Linked DNA regions of Struthio camelus. The protein of the gene in region 1 interacts with the protein of each later gene in a biochemical or structural test. Links are inferred from orthologs where the notes say so. Each region holds a gene or a part of one and is shown on either strand. Other genes may lie near its edges.

Evidence for each region.
Region 2: the proteins of RBSN (region 1) and RAB5C form a complex in vitro, tested with the Homo sapiens proteins (2 studies listed by BioGRID and IntAct, with this or other methods). The link is inferred for Struthio camelus from reciprocal best matches to the Homo sapiens genes RBSN and RAB5C.

Annotation. Positions count from the first base shown.
Region 1 is NC_090955.1:452,152-463,562, reverse strand, and holds the start of RBSN (rabenosyn-5), read left to right. Parts: upstream 1-7,024; 5' UTR 7,025-7,123; coding exon 7,124-7,286; exon of another isoform or gene 7,287-7,403; intron 7,404-8,966; exon of another isoform or gene 8,967-9,152; intron 9,153-10,019; coding exon 10,020-10,160; intron 10,161-11,411. UniProt on the Homo sapiens protein: Rab4/Rab5 effector protein acting in early endocytic membrane fusion and membrane trafficking of recycling endosomes. Required for endosome fusion either homotypically or with clathrin coated vesicles.
Region 2 is NC_090966.1:7,567,989-7,579,326, forward strand, and holds the start of RAB5C (ras-related protein Rab-5C), read right to left. Parts: upstream 4,372-11,338; 5' UTR 4,200-4,371; intron 1-4,199. Other genes in the region: KCNH4 (potassium voltage-gated channel subfamily H member 4), read right to left, coding at 6,393-6,440, 6,648-6,801, 7,003-7,370, 7,470-7,517, 7,964-8,178, 8,269-8,518, 8,965-9,164, 9,321-9,515 and 1 more. UniProt on the Homo sapiens protein: The small GTPases Rab are key regulators of intracellular membrane trafficking, from the formation of transport vesicles to their fusion with membranes.

The DNA.
Region 1 (11,411 bases):
TTTGGGCCTGAGGTTCGGGTAAGGGATGAAACCAGAAAAGAGCCAGTTTCTACACTGCAATCTTTGCTTCTTTGAACGGTAAACACAGTGCAATCCCTTGGCGATACGAACTAAACAGATATATGCTACTTACTTTTAAAGTAAGAATTTGCTAACTGCATTTCACATAACATGTTATTTTTACTGTATAACTTCCCCTTGCTGTCATCTTTTGTTAGAATTTAACATCTGTGGAAACACCTAGATGTTCCAGGCTTTGCTCATAGCTTTGCTCAGTCACACATGTAAATGTAGATGCACATATCGGTAACTGCAGAATAATGCTCTTAAGTTGCAAAGCTCTCCAGTGAAGTGTATTATTTGTCTGTGGCCCAGTTTGTGGCTCTTGAGGAGTGATAAGAAATCAATAACAGACTTAGTCCAAAGGTTACTGGAGTCAGTGGAAAGGTCTCTCTTGTCCTCTGCAGAATCTGCATTATGTCCACAAAGCAAAGCTGTACACTGGCCCTAATTTGCCATCACAGTGATGCAAATTCTTATTTCCAGCTCTGACTGGGATTAAAACAACCCTTCATAGGTGAGTTCTTTGTTAATTCCACTTAAGTTTCACATTTCCGGCATGTTACCAGTTACGGAGACATACAAGAGTTTGATTCCCAAAGAGCAGCTTCTGTAAATGCCTTCAAAATGAGCTTTGTTTTCAATGGGAGGGGGAAGCCAATGCGAACAAATGGTGTAACTAACATTTCCTGCAATTATTTTCAACTCCTCTCATCATTACTGCTCTCTGCCTCGCTCCCCCCCAACCTATCAGCCTTGGACTCCTTGCTAAATCATTATAATTAGCACGTGCTGAAGGTTTCCAAGGGACATGTGCCCCCCCCCCCAAACTCCCCTTAGTATTACTTTTAGTGATTCCTCAGTTGGAGAAAGTTTGAAAACATCATCACCAGAGGTGAAGTAGAGTCGCTGCTTGCCTGGTGACTCACTCAGTTAACATTAAGCTGCCAGCTGCACTCTTAAAAGTGCTCAAAAAGCAAGCACATCATTCTAACAACCTCTTTGAACAAGCAAGTTGTGTTGAAGACGACAGCAACAACAGCCCTGCAAAAAATCCACAAATCATATACTGTCAAGCAGCCTTTTCCTTCTGCCAAACAGCAAGACAGTATCTAGGGGGCATTCTGCTTATAGATTTTAGACGTGCTGCCTTCAAGATGGGAATTGGTTGCTGTACAAATTTGTAGGGGAAACAGAAGACAAGAGAGGCTACCAGAGAAAGTACCCAAATATGGTTTCATCTGAAATCTTAAATGAGTCCTGAACACAATCTAAACATCGTGGCGTTATGGATCCTTCAGTTACAACATCAAACAATATGTAATCACAGAGGAATTCTGAATATTCCTCTCTCCCCTCTTTATAAAGTGGTGCCGTTCCATGATATCAGTAGCACTCAGGACAAATACGCCACATTCATCAGCCGCGTGAAGGGAAGAGGTAAATTTGTGTTGACGACTGGCCTGCTAGACAGCCTCATTTCACTGCACAGAACCTCAGCACTAAGACAGTACTGAAGGAGTTAACAGGCAAATCACAGAAATAGGGCTCGACAAGTTGCCAGCGGCAGCTCCCACAAGCCATCGTGCTGTCAGTTTTGATTGACGAGTCTGCAAACACAGAAAAATCATAGATTTGGCATGGAGATGTAGCTTCTCTTATCCTCCCTATGTAGACTAATTAAACAAGTTTGCTTTGTATCAAAGTGTTTACTATAGGCAGCTTGAGTATATTCAGTATATGAATTTTCATTAAAAGGTACTTAAGAACAGAGATCTGCAACTTTAATTTTGCTCAGAGAAAAAACCTTGCATAAAATGTTGTTTCAGATCTATCCAACGCAAAAAAAAAACAAAACCCAAACTGTTTTCTCAGATATATGAAAATCAAAGATCATTTTGGGTTATTGGAAACATTAGGAATATTTTGCACAACCTATTCTGAGGTTTAAAACTACATTTTAAAAATTTATCACAAAACTTAGGCCAATTTCAAAAACATAGCATCCATTTAGACCAAATATTTGTTTAGTTTAGAAAATACTAAGGAAAAACATTCTGATTTTTCCAATCTTTGCTTCCACCAAAAGGACGGAATGAATTCAACACAGTTAGTTGTCAGATATTTTAAACTTTTTTCAATGAGTAAGCCATATTTGTGTAAAAACGCTCCATTGCATTCCTTGAGCAGCAGACAGGCCTTATCAAGAACTACCTCTAGTCTACATTTACCTCTCTTGTGCTGGGATCAGACTCTTATTATTTATCATGGCAAATGCCACTGAGGATTTTACAGGAAGATAAAGAATATAGGAGAACCTAAGTGCAATACCCTTCCGGCAGGACTTTGCCATTGCTACAGAGCTGACTGGCTTCCTCCCCTCACTTGTATCCTCACTAAAGTGTCTCGTCTTGGACATCAGACGCAACGACCAAGTTCGCACCAGACAGGGCCCTAAAATTCACTATTAGAGGTATCATAGCATCTCACGAGATATTATACAACTTTGTTAACTGAATGTTTGCAAAGAACTTTGAGGTCCTTGGATGAAAGCAGGTCAGCTAACATCACAAACAGGACCCCTTCACTCTACTCCTGCGGCAGAGCAGGAGGAGTTATATATGAGAAATGGGGCTTTGCAGGCCAGGTGTTCATATTCCAGTGGCAGAGATGGGGCAGTGAACACGCCACTCGAGCAAGCCTTTGAAACACTCTCCTTTTTTGTATTGCTGCTCTTTCAGTTTGATTCACAACGGCAAATCATTACTGATTCAAATTTAGTCCCCAACAGCATCAGTAGCATTTCTGTAATGTTTAATTGGTCCCCAAATACCTTTTAGATTGCTGTTTCGCATCACCATCTCTTTCCATTGCAACTAGCTGGATGAACCCAAGTTCATTTTTGAAGTAGCATAAACTGGATTGCTTTAGACTGAGATGTTTTTGGACCCTGAACATTCTCTGAGTGGGAAAGTGCGTCTCAATGAGCGGCAGGCAGCCAAAGTCTATTCCCATTCACACCAGCACAAGCCTAGGTCATTCCCCTGCACTTCAGGAGGGATACCTAAGCCCAAATTTGCCTTTGGGAACCAGCAATTACCGTTGACGCATCACGACTACATCTGGCATGCTGACTCTGCATCATTTATTACTTCTCTGATTCTCAGTCTAATAGCGTCGTAAATATCCACACCACAGTGAAGTGGTGCAACCACTCACTTGGTTGCACTCAGCGAGCTCCTGAGGAACTGCTAAAGACCATTTCTGTTTAGAAGTGTGCAAATCTATAGCGTTTTTCTTTCAAAGTGCTGAATGAAATTTCTCTGTTCAAGAGTGACTGACACATGGCTTTTTATCCATACTTCAGTAAGATTCATTTGGTGAGATGCTCTGTTGTAGTCTGTTGTCAAAGGCACAACATGCAGAAGAACGTAATTAACTAAAGATCCAGTGAAGTCTTTGATTTTTAGAGTACGTTGCAGCATGTTAGCATGCTTACCACAACTCACTGTAGGCAGTCCTTCTCACTATATGGTTATCGTCCAACAGCAAGCTATTATTTTAAGACTTTAATCATTGTATTTACCATTTTAATAAGCCTTTAAGATTATCCATCTGAAAATTAGCAGTTACGGAAGCTACGGCAAAGCTTTTCTTTTTTAAGAAAAGACCTTGCTGCTCAGGAGCCTCCCTCTCCCTTGCCCGACTCTTACCACTTCGGAATGACAGGACAGGAGGGGCCCGAGCTGCCAGGGTCGGTCATCAGGGCCTCACGGCCAGGCAGAGAGTCCATCCCGAACGCTGGGCAGCCCCAGCGCTGTGAAATCCCCTGCAGACGCCCGCTCCCAGACCCTCGGCGGTTCTCAGACATGCTTGTTGTGCCATCTGGCGGCAGCCGCTTCTCCCCACCTACCCGCTCCTCGCCACCGCCCTTCACCGCCTTGGCAAGCCACGCTTGTGCTGAACAAGGAACAGAGCAGAACGCACCCCCCCGGCAGGAACAAGACAACCCAAGTGCTAGAGAGCCCCCCCTCCACCAAGCCCTGCATCTGCTCTCGCCTTTTGGGGGGCTTATTCCCACTCTCACCCTTCTGAACTCTTTCCCTCCCATCCAAACATAGGTCTCACTGCCCACCTAGATCTCTCCGAGTCTTTCCAGTCCCCCAGAGACACACGTACTGCTGGAGGAGTCCTTCCCCGGCTCAGTGTGTTACAAATCGCTGGCCTGAACAGAGGCCTGGCCAAAAGGAGCAAGATAACAACCAAGGGGCAGCAATTTGGTTCCCCCTGTCTTGCCCAGAACACAAGCATGGCTCAGTGCTAGGAAACAGCCGAGCTCCAGCAAATCCAGAAAGATCACGACACGTCTATTAATTGAAGCCCCAATTCCACATATAGGTCTATCCAATGAGAAACCCCAGAAGCCTTGATGAGATGTGTACGGTAAAAGGCTTTGCCAGCTCAATATTGAGTATACTGAGTTCATCTTGGCAGGCCTCTTCCATGTGTGGTTAAACCCTTCTCACTAAGGTTGGAAGAGGCCAAAAATATATTTTTCTATACAACAACATCAGTAGAAATGTAAGCTGGTTACTTCTGTTTTTCCCCTTTTCATCCATGAAGTACCTTCCTTCTTTACATATACTGCTCCTTTAAACTCCAGTCCCTATAGATGAGAATTTTTCAAGTTTTAAAATAAAAATCATAACACTTAAAAAACACATTCAGATTTTTAAGAACTAGGGGTACTATAGCCCCTTAACTTAAGGAAAAAAGTTAAGTCATACCTTTAAAAAAAAAGCTTAACAGCTTATAATTTGCCTGACTGCACTGCTAGGAGAGTATCTGATCAGAGTAGCTTTTGCAGCATCCTAAAGCCTCTTCTCAGCTTTTAAAATCAGAGGAATTGAGTCTGTGTTTTGCATGCAAAACAGGAAGGTGATTGTAACTTGTTTTCTACGTTATTTCCATAGCCTCCTGATTCTCTCTTCATAATCGAATCAAGACTGCATTGTTTTGAAAAGCAAAGCATAACGGGTCTCAGCAGGAAACTGCAGATTTAAAAATTCAGATAGTTTGGCTATTTATAACATTCAATTACTCCTCTGGTTAAATTAGTTCAGTTTCAAGACTTTAATTTCTCATTATGCTTTTGATGGATTATGGAACTATACAAGCAAAACAGGTCAAATTCACTGGTGACGTGAAAGGTGCTGAAGATGGTCACATAATAGTCAGCCTATAAAGATGAGATTGCAGGAATGAGAGCAGAATTTAGGACAGCTCACAAAACAGTTTGTGGATAAACCACATATCTCAGGTGGGACCGTTCAATAAATATCCTTTAGCTAAGATTTGAAGACCTTGGGGGTTGGGTACCTAGGAGCAATTTGTGCCTTGGAAAATTCCCCAGGATCCCTGCTGAGAACGGAGATGCCCGAACTTCAGGCATGAGACTGTGGGACGTTAGCAACGATGCTCCACCTTGAACGGATGGGACTTAAGCGTAAGGAGCGCTGCCTGAGATATAGGAAAGTCTCTGCCTTCAAAAGCCTGTAATCTTGACAGATGAAGCAGTTGTACGATTGCACCCTTCTTTCCTCTGCGCGCTGGGGAAGGGGGGACAGCACAGAGCACCGCCCGAGCGAGCAGTAACGAGCATCGAAAGGGGATACGAACAAGCTTTCGTCCTTGCGTCCCACAGCCGTCTGTCGGGCGGCATGGGGCCGAAGCAGGCTGTCCTGGGAGTCCCGGCCCCTGCGAGCAGCGCGCAATCCGGCACGGCCGCCCGCGGCCTGCAACAGCTTCTCTCGAAGGGCGCGGCGGGCTAGGAAAAGGAACCGGGCCGTCCACCCACCCGGCCCTCCCCCCACCGGGCCCTCCCTCCACCCGGCCGTCCCCCCACCGGGCCGTCCACCCACCGGGCCCTCCACCCACCCACCGGGCCTCCACCCACCGGGTCCTCCACCCACCCGGCCCTCCCTCCACCGGGCCGTCCACCCTCCGGGCCCTCCCTCCACCGGGCCGTCCACCCACCCACCGGGCCCTCCCCCCACCGGGCCCTCCCGCCACCGGGCCGCTCGCTCCTCCCGGCGGGATCAGCAGTCCCTCTGCCGCCCGGCCCGGGCCTGCGCTCCGGGAAACGCCGCGCCGGCGCCGGGCCGGGCCCCGCTCCCAGCCGGGCCTCCCGCCGCCGCTCCCGGCGGGGACCTCCAGGCAGCCTGCGGCGCAGGGGGGCCGCCAGCCCCAGCCCCAGCCCCAGCCCCAGCCCCAGCCCCAGCCGGCCCCACGGCTGCCCCGCGCCGCGCCGCGCCGCGCCGCCTCCATCGACAGCTCTGCGCTTGGCAGAGCGCGCCTTGCCCGGCCCCGCCCCCTGCCGTCCGCACGAGCCCGCCCGCCCCTGCCCATTGGTAGCTCGGTGCTCGCCGCCGGGATCCCCGGCGGGCTGGGGCGCGGCCGGCCGGGGGCTGCCCCGCCGCCGAAGGCAGAGACGCGCACCCGGCGGCTGCGAGCCGAGCCGAGCCGAGCCAGGCCACAGCCGGCCGGGGGCTCAGCGCGCCCGTGCTGCCAGCGCCCCGGTGCGCCGTAGGCGAGGGGGAGCCGCCAGCGGCCCGCGACCGCGCGAAGCCCCGCCCCGCCCCGCCCCGCGCGAGCTGCCGACTGCGCCTGCGCGCCGCCGCCCCGCCCCGCGCGAGCTGCCGACTGCGCCTGCGCGCCGCCGCCCCGCCCCGCGCGAGCTGCCGACTGCGCCTGCGCGCCGCCGCCCCGCCCCGCGCGAGCTGCCGACTGCGCCTGCGCGCCGCCGCCCCGCCCCGCGCGAGCTGCCGACTGCGCCTGCGCGCCGCCGCCGCCGCCCCGCCGAGAGGCGCCGCGCTGCAGGCCCCGCCGGCCCTGGCCCTGGCCCTGGCCGCTCGGCCCCGGCGGCGCCGCTGGAGGACCGGGGGGCTCCAGCCTTGCGCCGCTGCCGGTTCCCTGCAGGCGGGGCGATGCCCGCGCCGCGCTGCCCGGCCCCGGCCGCGGCCGCAGCTCGGCGGTGAGCCGTGCCCCGCGGACGGCCCTCGCCATGGCCTCCAGCTGCCCGCCGCCTTTCGGCGACCCGGGCGACGTGAGAGAAGGGTTCCTGTGCCCGCTCTGCCTCAAGGACCTTCAGTCCTTCTACCAGCTGCAGTCGCACTACGAGGAGGAGCACTCCGGCGAGGACGGGGATGTCCGAGGGCAGCTCAGAAGTGAGGCCTGGCGGCGCGTTTGGCGCTTTCCTTTTTGTCTGGTAAAATTCCCTGCAGCCGAAGCTGCTGGTGCTGCAGACCCTCAGGATGGCTAGTAGTACTGAAATACTAATGGAAGTGAGTTACGGCGGGGGCAGGGCTCCGTTTCCCCGTGAAAGGACTTACGCTAAGGCGTAGTTAATACGTTATTCTTCACTCGCTACTTTTAGTGGTGTTTTAGAATTTACATACTGAAAGTAGTCACTTAGAAGGCCTGACTCTGCAGGTATCTGATTGCGTGTACTGTGTACATGTTATTGGCTTTGTTTATTTATTTTTTAACCTGAGCACTCTCAAATTCATGCTGTAACCCAGATAAATTCTTCAGCTAACACTTGGGATTTCACAGAACATAGGTAATCTCCGGTCTTGCCAGGTACCAACTCATTAATCCCCTATTTCTGACAGTGAGGCGAAGTGTAAAGTTAAGGACGGTTGGTGGTAGATAAACATAGACAAGAACATGGCTGGAGGTGCTGGCTGAGGGAGGGCAGTAGATAGATGCTGAGAGTATCCCAGAGTTGCGCTCCAGATCACCAACTTTCACTGGTGTCTGGAAAATCCCTTTGGATTCTTTTTCAACTAAAATACTGCTTCCTTGGTTTCTCTTTTGTCTACACTGTGTCATTTTTACATGGAGAGAGAAATGTGCAGAGCAGTGGGTATTTTCTGTCTTCCTTGCAAAAATCTTTTCATTGTTACTTTATTATAATAGAGATAGCACCCTGGCAGTTTTTAATTTTTACCTTCTTTTTTAATGAGATTGGTGGCTATTGTTTCAAAAGTCTCTCTTGTAAGTGAAGTTCCTGTTTTTAATAACCTATCTTAAGAGTAGTACGATTGAATGTTTTATTTAAAAAATATATGTACAACATATATTTTATAAAAAGTTGCTTTCCATCAGTCTGGCTGCTACTTGGCTTTTAGCACTGTGCTCTTCTTGGACAGTGAAGGCAGACTGGTCAGTACTGCATCACGTTCTCATCATGGGCACAGTGCTGTAATAGCTGAATCGCAGGCGCTTCAGTGGAGTGTTTAAACCAGAACAGCAATAGGGTTTGCATTGCACTAAGAGGAAAGAAAACAACAACAACTTAGGCTTGGTAAGATTTCCCAAATGCTTTCTTTTATTTAATGCAGAACACCTGCATTTTGATTTTGTTCTCTCTGTAGTATTCTTTTAAAGTAGTGTATTGCGCCTTCTCAGGCACAGGTCTTTCATCTGTGTGTTGATATCAAGAATGTTGTTTTTATTTGCTTACTTTCTGTCCTAGCTCTACCCAGTGAAGTCCCTCCCAGACAGAAGGCCAACAAAACTATCTTTTCCCTTAAACAAGGGACTAGAGTTCAAACCGTATATCACGAGTAGTTATGTGATTTTGTGCCGAATTCAGAGTATCCTAACTGTGGAGCTATAAGGTGACTTCTAGTCATTTCTAGTACTTTGAGTGAGTCATACAGAGGTACTTGTGTTTGATTTTGTTACGAAAGACATTATGAAGTCTGCTTGAAAACCTTTTGTGTCTGTGGCAAAACCATGAGGCATCGCGAATTCTTTTTGTGTATGTCTCACTTACTATATTTCCTGTTTATATGGTGTAAACCTCACCTAAGAAACTGCAGTGTTCAGCTAGCATTTGCCATGTTGCCTTGGGAGTATTTTGGGGAAAGGTGGGAGGAGAAATCCTGTTTCTGCGATGATGTTACAATGCTAGCAAAGCCTTTGCCAGCCTGACGGGGACACAGCTTTGTTGACAAGAGTGTTTCATTTCAGTGAGTGTCGTTTTGTGAGGAAGCATAACTTCAGCAGCTGAAAAACTTCAGTTAGTAAGTATGATGCCTGCACGAAGGGGTGCTGCTGGCACAGCTGTAGTGACTGAAACTCCCGAACAGAGGCTCTGGTGCAGTTGAGGTGGAAGTTCTAGTGTTTTGGATACTACATAAGGAAAGTAGAAACCTGAAGGGACTTGCTAACTCATGGTTCCCAGCACCGTGTCAGAAACCTTGAAGTATAAAAGACTTAATTCTAGGAGAAATTGAATGTCTTCTGCAAGAAAATTAGCACCCTTCAAATTCTGCTAGCTTCCAAAGAGGAACATAGCTGCAAGGGGGATAAAAGCTCTCAAGTTTCAAATTCCTAGTCCTCCTTTTGGCCCAGTAGACTGTCCTCCTCTCACTAGCGTTACTATGAGGTAACGGAATGGGCCGCATAGTACTTGGGAAACTATCTAGATATAGTTTGCAGTTAGTACAAAAATGGAGAAAAGAAGGTTCTGAGCATCCTTGAATCCTCAGAAAATCATTCGGAATGAAGAGCTGTTATATGTATGGTGGCCCAGCATGTTATGGAGTGGGTCTCATAAGTTAATGCTGCTTTAGTCAACAGCTTACTGTTTTGCAGTTAAGTCTCAGAATGGTGCGTCTAAAACTACTGCTTTGTCATTAGGAGCTTAGTGCTACTTTATAACAGACAACAAACACCGTTTCATATTGGCTGTGGTTCTCTGGACCGTGCTCTGGTTCCAAACAGGCTAGGTTATATTGGCGTAAAAATCAAAAATATTAATAATAAACTTGTCATCAAGGAAAAAGACTTGTGCTCAAAGATCAGAGGAGTATTCTATACTGGCTTCAAATGACAAATATTCAGTGACTAACTGTCGGGTGCTTGACATGCGGGTCTGTCTTTTCCAGATCTAGTCCAGAAGGCTAAAAGAGCGAAGAAGAAATTGCTGAAACGAGAAGATGATCGAACTGATTCTGGGTCTCAGGAACGATATGAGTCGTTTAGCTATGGTGGAGTAGATCCGTACATGTGGGAGCCCCAAGAACTCGGTAAGAGAACTAGGAAGCGATATGCAGCGCGGATAATTTTTTCTTTTAATCTTAATTGGGGAAAATGCTACAGTATTGCTGAAGCTGCATGAAGTTGTCTGTATTGCATTTGATTCATAGATCAAATGCTACAGCATGGAGTGATGGCTTGCATGTGGTTTCTTGCACCCTACCTATGTTATATAGGGTGACTGGGAAACTGCAGATAATGCAAGGGAAAAAAAACCTGCACCAGGACCCCAACTGACATTTGGAGCAAGATGGTTATATTTGTCATGTCATTGTGCCTGAGCTGTTGAGTCCTGCTGCATACACGTGTTTACCTCCGGATCTAGCTTTGTTGAGGTGTCCTGCAACCATCGTTTGGCTTTTTACAAAACAGATAATCCACTAATCAATAATTAAACTATAGCCATACAAAATCTCTGACTTTTAGGTTATACTTAAAGTCGATGTTAGTTGACGTGCCTGACAGAAAGCTTGTCCCTTCACTTGAACTTTTTCATTTTTTTGCTTGGAAGGAAGAGGTTTTCTTTAATAAAAACAAACAACAAAAAACCCAGCTCTGGATATAGACTAAACTTTGCAGAAGTTCAAAAGTGTGTTGACTGATCCTGTAATTACAAATAGCGCTACTAGAAATTGCGCTTTACTGTTACTGAACTGTTACAGTTATTTGCAGGGGAGGAAAGGGAGGCAGTGCTATTACTGGTGGGTCCTGGGAAGGTTTTCCCTGTGCTGCTGACAGCCTGGGACTTAGTCCTGTGGGTCTGCCAGAGTCTGAGTTCTGTAGATGATTGTACTTTTAACTTGGACTCTTTCAGCAGCAATCATAAGTATAAATATTAGCTAAGAATAAATTTAGGCTGTGAATTAGCAGAAGGCTTCTACGCATTAGAGAAGTGAGAACTCTTTCCTGACGGAAGCAGGGAAGATAAACCTTACGGATTTTTAGGATAGGATTTGGTGGGTTTGTGAAAGGGACCTTCTGATGTGTGCGACAGCAGAGTGTGAACTCAGTTACCTAGAGGGGCCCTTCCATTCCTGTGAATGTGGCTTTGGAGTTTTTTGTGCATCTCATTAGAATGAGGAAAAGAGATCACCTTAAATTCTTATAAACAGTTAGCGTCAAAGAGAAACATCTGATTTTATGTTCTACCTGTCCCATTACGGAGGAACAATTATTTCTGTATTTTATCTGTAACTTTGATTTTTAATATCTGGCTTATGTTATTCAGAAAAGGATCAAAA
Region 2 (11,338 bases), on another chromosome or scaffold:
TATGCTCTCTCAATCTTTTTTTTTTAGCCAGCTCAACCCCATACACAATCCCTTTACCAAAAAAATTTTCCTAGGTTTAAGCAGTTACCAAAAGTTTTTGGCAATGTCTCATAAAGTGATAAGACGTTATGCTTACTGATGCTACCTTGGTGCTACAGGTTTCTATATTTAAGAGACAGTTGAATAAGTATCAGCAACAAAAGTTATCATTTTGGTAACACTGGCATTACAAGGAAGTTCCATGCCTAATCCAGTGGGGGTTTTAATTCTGGAGAGGAGCATGACTAATTGCTTTCAAAACTGCAGTTAGTGCCCTATTAGATCACCATAGGCTGAACAGAAACATGCAATTAGAGCAGGCAGAGGTATTGTGCTTCTGCCTGTTCCTTGTACATCAGGAAAGTGACAGGGATAATATTAGAACACACATTCTAACCAGTGCCACTTAACCCTGCAGCTCTGTTTACATGATAGCAAGTGAACTCACACACGGTCATGGTGACAGAAGATCCATAAACGCAAGCTTTCAGTATTGCCTTGGTCAAGCTCTATTTAGGGGAGCTACGGGGATAACACACTTGCAAAGCGTGCTGTGAAAGGAGCAAGAGAGGTGGCAACTTTCTACTAAGTATTAAGGCATAAAATGCAGCATTGACTTCTATGGAAGTGTTTTACATCACCCTCATTTTAGGTAAGCTTCTTCCTAGCTGGATGGCGCAAAGCTACCTATTCCAGATACCAAAGCAGCCCCTGTCCCCACATTAACTCCTCTTGGAGGTCTCATTTCCTTTTAGTTATCCTTGACAACGCAAGAACTTAGTCCTATTTCACAGAAGTTGAGACATAGCTATTCTGAGGAAGTTATTCATGAGCACAGTCTGGACCAACTAGCAATTGAACAGAAGAGTCAAGTTTTTAATCTTGTAGGAAAGGTTCTTATACCTCCTGTTTTTGGTATTGTCTCCTACTGTTTAGCACACCCTTGAGAGACTCAGCCTATTTTTGACCAGGAGCCCAGGAACATACACCTTTAGATGACATCTACTGTTTTGTGAACAGGACAACAAAATCATTAGCGGTGCAAAGCAGAGAACCGCCATCTTCACTGCAAAAGAGTCAGTGACCTTCATAATATCTTTTCCAGACTGCACAGAGATCTGCTGCCTCTAGCAGTTCCTTATTTGGAACACTACTGAATAAAAACAAACATGGAAACCAGTGTTTTCTTATCTGTTCATGTAGAACTATTCCAGGAGTTTGTTCCTGTGCTTCAGAGGAAGAAAGAGTGTTCCTTTTAGGATTTAGATGAAGCTTTATTCTTCCCTGGTATTGTCATTGCCAGGAAGGCTCTTTTTCCTCCGGCTAGCACTTGGAATGTTTTTGTAGCTTTACTCTGAAGATTTAACAGAACTTGCATAAGACTACTTTAAACTTCATACCCCGAGGGAATAAAACAGCTGACTCTGCTATTTCTACATTCTACTCTCCTAAGTATGCTGACCAAAAGACTTCAGGCTACACCCACTTCACGAGAAGTGTTCCCATTTCATTTCCTGTGTCTGAAAGTACTTGGCATTCTTTTCCCTCCCTTTTTAGGGAGCTGCCATGGCCACCTATCACCTAAACATGCAGCAGCCTAGAAAGTTAGGATCACAAGAATTGATATGACCAGCATGGCCTATGGAAAGCCTCTAACTGATCCCTCTCTAGATGCAGAGCTGCTTTGCCAAGATGGAGACAATTCCACTTCCTCCCCACTCCTCCGCACAGTGATTTAGTTTGCCAAGCAGGCAGAGTATGAATTTGTTACTAGACAGTTGTTTTAGACATGAGCCCAGTCCATTAGTCATTTCATTAACAGAGCAGACTGAGCTAAACCCAACTCTATTCAGAGTAAAACCAGACAAACTTTGATTTTACTAAGCTCATATCCATACATGAGGTTAACCTTTTCCCTTACAGTTCTAGCAATTTAAATCCTTCTTCAGAAGTCCCACTTTAGCTTACATTGCTCCCCAACCTGGAAAGGTATTAGAGCCTAAACTGCCTTCTTAAAGGACCTGCACTGCCAGGAACTATCTTAACATGAATGTAGTCTGAATTAACCTGTAATATACTAAGGGTGAAAGACTGCCTCTAAAGGCAGATTTTGCTATGGAGAGTACTTGACTATTTGGGCATACTGTTGAGATATCTAGTTTACTCAAGAGAAGTTTGAGATGGATTATAACAACTGATTCTCAGTACTAATGAGTCTAAGCACACCTGTTCTTAACCTTACAGGTCTGTGTAGCACAGTGCTTTACCTGCTTTCCTTACTCCAAGGAGGCATTAAAACCAATGTTGACTCATAGCTCTCTACAGCTTTTTCAGTCACTGCTCTTCTATCTCATCCCATTAAATTGAAAACTCAGCCCAAAAAACTTCAGAGTCAAGGCAGCAATGAATATAAATGAGCTATTCCAAGGGAGTTCATTCACAGCAGGGCAGGCTAACCCAATATGAATCAGAAGTATGATTTTATTTTTCGGTCTCAATCAAGCTCTGTAGCCACTGCCTTTAGAGCGAGCTCAGGAGTCCTAACTTAGTGCAAACTAGGATTGATGTCATGCTATAAGCAGGGCAGCTCACATATTTAGAGACCCACCACACAAAACACTAAGAATAGTAGATGCATGTTGCTCCACATAAACTTAAAATAGTACCTCAGTGTACTCTCTTCGCTTTGCTTTCCTTACATGTTTGGAAACTACCAAGGTCAGAGGTGTGAACAACCACGTACAGAAACAACAAGTTAAAAGTCAACTGAGAGCAGGTCAACACTGTATTTGATCTCACAGGCAGTGCATTTTACAGGGAAAAGTCAACGTTGGTTAGAGCAGCAACTGAGTTGTCATGGCTCCCATGCTTCAGTGAGTTTTAAGAGCACCTTGAACATTATCAGGAACACAGCTCAAGCAACTTTTGCAGGTTCTGGCATTACAAACCTGTTAGCTCACCCTTATTTCTGCACTATGCCAGTCTATACAGGATCACATGTTGACTATCCTCAGTTTAAACACAGCATTGACTCTTCTGCTGCACAGAAGAGCTGTGGACGGTCTTACGTCTGAGCATTTGGGTTTTTCTTGCCAGCTCCGTTCCTCATTCAAGAGCCTGCAGCACCACATACTTCATTTCACATCTGTCCCTTGGAGGACACAGGGGCAGTGATTTTCATCAGCAGGAATCCAGAGATGCCTCAATTCCCCTGGAACCTATTTTCAGCAGTTAAAGTCACATGCTTCATTTAAACAGTTTTCTACTTCAGAGCCCAGCTAGTCTTTCAGACTCTTCTAGAGTTTCTATGCCGACTTCAGCAGTTCACTAACTGCAACAAAATATTATATCACTTCTACCCCTACAGGGGCCACCCCTCCCCCAAGTCCCATTTAAGTTCCACACAGTCACCTCTAAAACACAGCACTACGAAAGAGACAAAGGGATTGAGAAACAGCATTCACACAGACCCTCAGAATACTGACAGCAAGTGCTTGCACTCACTGTTAAGTGAGCCCAAGCCTTTCTTATTTATAAGGAAAAACAATATTGAAGAGCATTATTAAGAGAGTCAGATCTGAATTTGCAGGAAGCCAGTCTTACATCTTCATCAGATTACAGGCTGTCGACTTTGACATGCTGATCCTTCGGGCGAGCAGAGCTGCCTTTGCTGGCTGCAGAGCACTACAACACCAGCTTCACTCTCCACGTCCACAAGGCCGGTCTCCCGCGGGCCAGCAAAGTTCACTCCCCTGCCTCGCACGGGTACTGACCCCGCACTAACCTGCCGCAAGACCGGGCTGCTCCTACCCCCGCTCGGGCGCCCTTACTGCACGGCTCGCCGGGGCCCATCCCTCGGGTGAGGCAGAGAGCGCGAGTCCTCCAGCGCCGAGCCGGCCCGAGCGGACAGCGCGGCCGGAGCCGGGCCGGGCGGCGGCCCCGCTCCCGGCCCCCGCCGGCTGCCCGCTCCCGGCCCAGCGGGTCCGGCCAGCGGCGGCCAGGCCGCGCCGCGCCGGCCCCCCCCGGCCCCGGCCCCCGCAGGCCGCGCCCCACCCCGCAGGATCCCGGTCCAGCCCAGGCGGGGGGGGGAGCGCGGCCGGGCGGGCCCCGGGCCCCGCGCCGCCGCCACCGCAGCCTCCCCGGGCGCCGGCCGCACTCACCGCGCCGGCCCCGGCCCCGCCGCCGCTGCTCGCCCCCCGCCTCAGGTGAGTCCCGCAGGCTCCGGCCTTCACTTCCGCCTTTCACCCGTTCCGCTTCCGGATCCGCCCACCCCCCTTCCGCTCCCCGCCGACAGGCAGCGGCGCCTGCCAATCAAATTCGCCCCGCCCCCTCACCGGCGCTCCTCCCCCACTCCGGACGCACCGCCTCACGCGAGGGGCGGGGGCTGAGTGACGACACGACGTAGCCCTTTCCCCCGCGGGGGACGATGGGAGTTGTAGTCCCGGGGCAGCTCGGGGATCCCCGGGGAGCCTGAGGCGTTGGGATCCTGGGGGATCCCGGGGGGAATCCCTGGGCCAGGGGAAACTCGGGGCACGGGAGAGCCTGGTGCAAAGGGGGAATCCCAGTGCATGGGGGGATGTCCGGAATGGGGGATCCCGGTGCAAGGGGGGGTCCCGGTGCAAGGGGGGGTCCCGCTGAAAGGGGGGATCCGGATACAAGGGGGAATCCCGGTGCAAGGAGGAATCTCGGTGCAAGGGGAGGGGTCCGGTGCAAGAGGGGATCCGGGTGCAAGGGGGGGGGGTCCCGGCGCAAGGGGGGGGCCCGGTGCAAGGAGGGGTCCAGGTGCATGAGGATCCGGGTGCAAGACGGGGAGTCCTGGTGAAAGGGAGGGGTCCCGGTGCAAGGGGGGGGGGGTCCAGGTGCATGGGGATCCAGGTGCAAGAGGGGGAGTCCTGGTGCAAGGGGGGGGGTGTCCAGTTGCATGGGGATCCCAGTGCTTGGGTGGGGATCCGGGTGCACAGGGAACCTTGTGCATTGGGGGGGGGGGCAGAAGCTGAGGCTGCTGGTGCTTCAGGGGATCCCAGCGCCCCGCGTCCCCCCCCTTCTCCGTCCCACCGCAGAGCAGGGCAAAGAGCAGTCCCGGCCCGGGGCTAAATGAGCCACCCGGAGCCAGGGGCTGTAAAAATAGAGCTTTTATTTCCCACGTGTGTCTGTGCAGTTTGGGGGCGGGTAGGGGCGCGCAGGAAGGAGAGGGCATGCCGGGGAGGTGTGGGAGGGCGAGGCAGGGCTGGGGGCTGCAGTCTGCAAAAGGGACCGTCGGGGGGTAAAAAAATAAAACTACAGCAATCAGAGCCCTGAAAAACGTGAAGGAAGGGGCCGCGGCCCAGAGCGGAGCAGCGGCCGGCGGGGACGGCAACAGCTCCAGGGCCGCCGCCGCCGCGAGGCCTCGGTGCCGGCCGCGATGTCTCTTGGGAGCCGCTGCCTCGAAAGCGCCCGGAGCCCCCCAAAACGCCCGGGGCCGTCAGGCTGCTGCCGCAGACGGCGGCGCCGGGGCCGGGGAGCAGGGCGGGACAGCGGGGTCCGGCTTACCAAAAAAAAAAGAAAAAGAAAAAAAAGCCCAAACCGCGGGAAAAGAGTATCAAAAGCGTATCAAAATCCCTGCTGGTTTCGGAGGCCGGGGCTCGGCGGAGGGGCAGCGAGGAGGGCGCTGCAGGCGGGACCCGTCCGCCGGCTGGCCGAGGAGAGCGGCCAGCGCGCAGACGGCACCGGGCCGGCACCGGCGGCGGCGGCGGGGGCTGCGCGCTGCCCGGAGCCCCGCGGCCGCGGCCGGCGCGCCGGGGTCAGTGGGAGGCGGCGGGGCCGGAGCGGAGCTGCGGGCGGGCCGGGGGCGGCGGGCGGGCCGAGCAGCCGGCGGAGGAGTGGGGCGAGCGGGCGGGCGGCGGCGAGAGGGGCGGCGCGGCCGCGGCTCGACGGGGCGCCCGGGGCTGCGCGGGGGCCGCCTGCGCCGAGCGGCTGCGCCCGGGGCCGCCGCTGCCCCGGGGACCGGCGGCGGCCGAGCTGCGGGGGCCGGGCGGCTCTGGCGGCACCGGCCCCGGCCCCGGGGCGGCGGCGGCCCCGGGGAGGCCGTAGGGGCAGGCGGGCAGCGGCGCGCCCAGCCGGCCCTGCAGCAGCTCCATCATGCGCTGCAGCTCCCGGCTGAGGTGGGAGACCTCCTGGTTGAGGTGGTTGATCTGCAAAGGCACGGAGAGCCGGGGGCACGGCCGCGCCGTGAGCAGCCCCGCGCCGCCGGCGTGCCGCGCAGCCTGCCGCCGGGACCGGCCGCCTTCCCCGGCGCAGCCGTCCGGGAGACGTGCCCACCCCAGGGGCCCCGGCACCTCCCCGTACCTCCTGGTTGAGTCTCCGGACGTTCTGCTTTATCTCCTCTGCCTCCATGTCCAGGCCTGGGCTGGCCGGGTCGGTCCCTGCCAGAAAACCACCACCGGTTTCAGCCTGGCAGAGCTCCCCAAGGGATGCACTGCCCCTTCTGCTTCCCCCCTTGCAGCCCCCAAGCAGGAGCACGAGGGCCCGGGACGGCCCCGGGGCTCGCCCTGCCCTCGCTGCTCGCTCCTGCCCCTGGCAGAGCCCCTCCAGCCCTGCCGCAGCCCAGCCTGGCCTGACGCCGCAGGTACCTGACGTCGAGGAGTCCCTCGAGGCGCTCTGCAGTGGTGGGTCCACATTGAAGCAGAAGGTTTGTGCCTCCGACGTGCCCCCGTCGTCTTCAATGCCATCCACCACCCTAGGGCAGGGGAGAGGGTGCAGACCGGGGGCGAGTCCCGGGCCGGCCTGGTGGAGCGGAGCGGAGCCCACCATGCAGCCACGCGTGTGCACGGGACGGGGAGCACCGGAGAGGACAGTGTGTGCAATGTGGGGAGGGGGCTGCCCTCTCCCGCACACACACACGGCAAAGTGCGCATGCGTGGCCTGTGGCCCCGTATGCACAGACACGCGTGGTGCATGAGACCCACCAGCATGCACCAGCCTTACCTGGGGCTGAGGTCCGGGGGGCCAAAGCTGTGCAGGGACGGTATCAGCAGCTTGGCTGGCTTCCTGCCACTGCCGGCCTCCCTGTCCGAGAGCAGGGCATCCCGCCGGCACCGTGGAGAGGGGCTGTGGCCCCGGCTGCAGTGGGCTGGCGAGCGGCAGTTGCGCCGCAGGGCTGAGAGCTGGCACAGCTCATCACCCAGCAGGCTGCTGAGGGACCCACGGCGCACTGGGCTGCTGAAGCTGGGCAGCAGCAGCTTGCGGCGGGTGATGGTGGTGGGTGAGCGCTGGAAAACGTCATCGGGTTCCTCGTCGTCCTCGAGGATGGAGGGCAGGGGCTTCTCCGGGGTGCCACCAGTGTCCGGACACGGCTGCGGGTGGGCGCAGGGAGGTCAGGGCCGTACCTGTGTTGGGTGCCGAGGCCAGCCACGCTGCCCCCACCCTGCTCGCCCCCCCAGCCGGGCACCAACCTGTGCTGCCTGCGCCAGCCGCGGGGACCGGGCGTAGCGGAGGAGCCCCTGGGGAGAGAGCACACGGACCCGTCGGCATGTGGACGCGGGGCTGCGGGGGCCCACTGCCGGCCCCGGGGCTCGCCAGGCTGCAGCCCCTCGCCCCCTCCTTCCCCTGCTCCTGTCGTTGCACCACGGCACTGCGCAGCCTTCGCCGAACTCTGCCAGGGCTCGCTCGCTGCCCCGGTCTGCAAGCCTTGCATCCGCCTCGGCTTTCCACAGTGCAAATGCTCTCGATTGCAAACTCGCCAAGCTGCTCGCAGCTAGGAGAAGCCAGGCTGTGCCTGCATGGCCGGGGTGGCACAGCGTCCCTGCTCCCCAGCAGGGCTGCAGGTCCCAGCCAGCACCAGCTCCTCGCATCCTCGCAGCCGCTGCCGGCCTTGCGCGGGGGCATCCCGCCCCAGGGCGGCCGCTGGGGGAGGCAGGGCTGGTGCAGGGGCAGGACACGCACCCACCTCCATCTCGCTGCCCTCCCGCAGGTTGAAGGTGAGGTCCTGGTGGATGTCAGCCGTGAACTTGCTGGCGTACTCGGGGTAGAGTTGCAGCACCTCGCAGAGCCCCCGCAGCCCGATGTACTGCAGGTCGCAGTAGGTCAGCGCCTTCACATCTGCGTTGGTCTTGATCACTTGGTCCTTGCTTGGCAGGTCGGCTCCGATCAAGTCCCCTTTGCCTGCGGGAGGGGATCGGTCACAGCCCTGCGGTGTGAGGGCACCTGAGCTGCCACCCAGTCCACGCGTGCAGCAGGGCCCGCTGCCCTCACCCAGGATGGCCAGCACCACGTTGTCCCGCAGGACTTCCAGGGAGCCGGAGCAGACGAAGTAGTTGGCCTGCAGCGCGTCGCCCTGGCGCAGCAGGTACTCGCCCGGGGCGCAGAACGAGGTCTTGATGTGCAGCGAGAGGGAGCGCAGGCAGCCCCGGCTGGCCGTCTCGAAGACGGGCAGCTGCAGGATGTCCTTGTTCAGGTGCATGGCCACGTCTGCCCGCAGCTCGTCGGGGAAGTCGTGCAGCAGCTGGGGGAGCGGAGTCGGGACGCTGGTGGTGCACACGTGGGGCGAAGGGAGAGCAGGCTTCCCCTGCTGGACCTGCCGCCCCCGGGGGAGAGATCCCCTGCCAGCAATGGGGCATCGTGCAGCGCAGCAAGCTGGGGTGCCCTCGCCAGAGCCCAGCAGCGCCTGGCTGGCAAGCCCATGACACCTCTGGCTGTTGTAATCGGCTCTCTCTGCTCCCCGTGCACGTCCCTGCTCCCCGTGCTGGCAGGAGTCGTGGCCCAGTCCCAGCTTGCAGCGCTGATCCCCCCAGCAGCAGCATGTGTGCATGCACCTTTGCACACTCACATGTGTGCACAGGTGCATGCTTGCACCCGCAGAGCTGGCCTGGCCGGCTCCATCAGTGCACGCTCAGGGTGCAGGATGGGCAGTGGGAGCAGGACTGGCCCAGCGCCACCAACAGCTCCTACCTCGTTCGCATCGATGCCGTTGTTCACCGACCAGGTGGTCTGGAAATACTCCAGCATCCGCTGCTTGAGCTGCTGGGGGAGGCGGTGGACGCGGATGAAGTCCTTGAGGTCCTTCATGCGGGTGTGATAGAGCGAGCGGCGCGAGTACATGCGCTGGATGATGGCCGTGACGTTGCCGAAGACCACGGCGTGCATCAGTGCTGGGGGCCGGGAGGGCAGCGTCAGGCCAGCACCGGGGGCTCTGCCCCGCAGCAACGTGGGGAGCTTCCCCTCGCCCCGCACGGGGGCTGGGCCGCGGGCACGCGCCCATCGGCACCCGCAACGGGTCCCCGAGCCAGCCCCGCTCCCCGCCTCACCCCCGATGAGCATGGTGCAGATGGAGAAGATCTTCTCGGCGTCGGTGTTGGCACAGACGTTGCCGAAGCCCACGCTGGTCAGGCTGCTGAGGGTGAAGTAGAGGGAGGCGATGTAGGCGCTGCGGATGGAGGGGCCCCCCACCGAGCTGTTGACGTAGGGAGCCTCCAGCCTCTTGCCCAGCTCGTGCAGCCAGCCTGCCAAGCAGAGCCGGGGGTCAGCGCCGGGCGCGGGGCCCACGCAGCCCCGTCCCTGCCCTCCGCGGCAGCCAGCCAGGAGGGCTCCAACCCGCCGCTGCTGCCTCATGAGGCTGCTGCCTCCTGCGGGCAGCGGTCCCGGGCGGCCCGGGCGTGCGGCGCTCACCCCCCGCCCCGTGCAGCCAGTGCCGCACCGGCCCCGCTCACCGATGTCCCAGGTCAGGGGGTCATTGCTCTCCAGCTCCTTGCGGCCGATGACGTACCAGATGCATGCCATCCAGTGGGCCAGCAGCGCGAACATGGACATGAGCAGCGTGAGCACCATGGCGCTGTACTGCGAGTAGCGGTCCAGCTTCTGCAGCAGCCGCAGCAGCCGCAGCAGCCGCACCGTCTTCAGCAGGTGCACCAGCGAGGTCTGGGGAGCGGGGCAGGCGGGTGAACCCACGAGCTGCCGCCGGGCCAGGCAGCGCCGCCCGCCGTCCCCCCAGCCAGGGACCCGCCACCACGGGGCCCCGAACGGCCGCAGCTGCCAGGAGGGTGGTGGGCGCTGGGAGAGGCTGGGAAGAGCTCCCTCCCCAAACAGCCGTCCACCGCCATACCCGACGCTCAGCGGGCAGCTGGGCTCAGGGTCATCAGGGCACCGAATGCCCCCAGGAGACGGGAAGGGAGGTGACCAGCAGGAGAATGAAGCGAGCAGCAGAGGCTGGATGTGGTGAAGCTATGGTGAAGCCAGGCTGATCTACTCTACTTTGCAAGGGAAGTCTCAGCAAGAGGCTGTGTCTCGCCTGCAGAGATTGCAGATCCAGCAAGCTAGAGATGCCCTGGGTTAGGCGGGTTGATTTGAACGTGCAGTGATGCTGCTCTGGTGCCATCCGCTCCCAGGACTTCCCACTCTGCCCAAAATGCTTGTCTCCATCCTCCTTTCCCTTCCTGGCCCACGTCGGGCATTACAGGGAGCCCAGGGCCGTGGGGCACAGCCAAGGCAGCTGCGCGTTAGCCGCTGCCGAGGCCAGACACCCACCGAGGCCGGCCGGGACGGCGCGGCTCCTGGGGCTGCTCGGCTCACCTCGGCTCAGCTCCCCGCCACCTGGGGGGCCTCCCACTGCCGCTGCCCCTGTCCGGGCAGCTGCCGCACTGCAAACTCGGTCCCTCAGCAGTGTTTTGCAGGAAATGGCTGCTTGTGCCCTGGCATTGCAGCCCCCCAACGCAGGGCACTGCTCCCCGTGCACCTCTGGCTCACCCTGCCCTGGCAGAGGCTGCCTGCGGCCCGGGGAGCGGCCTGCGCTCCGGCCAGCTTGTTTTTGTGGCCGGCAGCACCAGCTGGGGCACGAGCGGAGCCGGTTTGGCTCAGGGGGCAGGTCCAGCCCCCTAGCACCTTCGCCTTCCCCTGCTCTGCTGCGGTGCCTCCAATAAGCATAATTACAGCCTCTGCACTCGCCTCGCTCCTTCCCTCCCTTCTCCAATTAGCAGAGGATGGTAACGGGGCTGTGACACACTTGTGGCAGCACATCCCTGCCCTGCTGCTCAGCTGAGGCCCTGCGGGGGCTGCTGGAGGCTCAGGCTGGGAGCCTCCGTGTGCCCACATGTGTGCGTTTGCATGCATGCTTGTGTGTGTGTGTGTGTGTGTGTGTGTGTGTGTGTCCGTCTGCATGCACACCTCTGTGCATGCCTATGGGGGGGGCAAGACCATCAATTTTGGAAATGGGAGGCTGAATCTGCATCCCAGCTACACACACATGCCGCTCCCAAATCTAGCCTCCCTCTGAGGGTGGCTCAAACGCCGTGGTAGGAGGCTGGGACACGGTGCAGGAAGATCCGCCCTG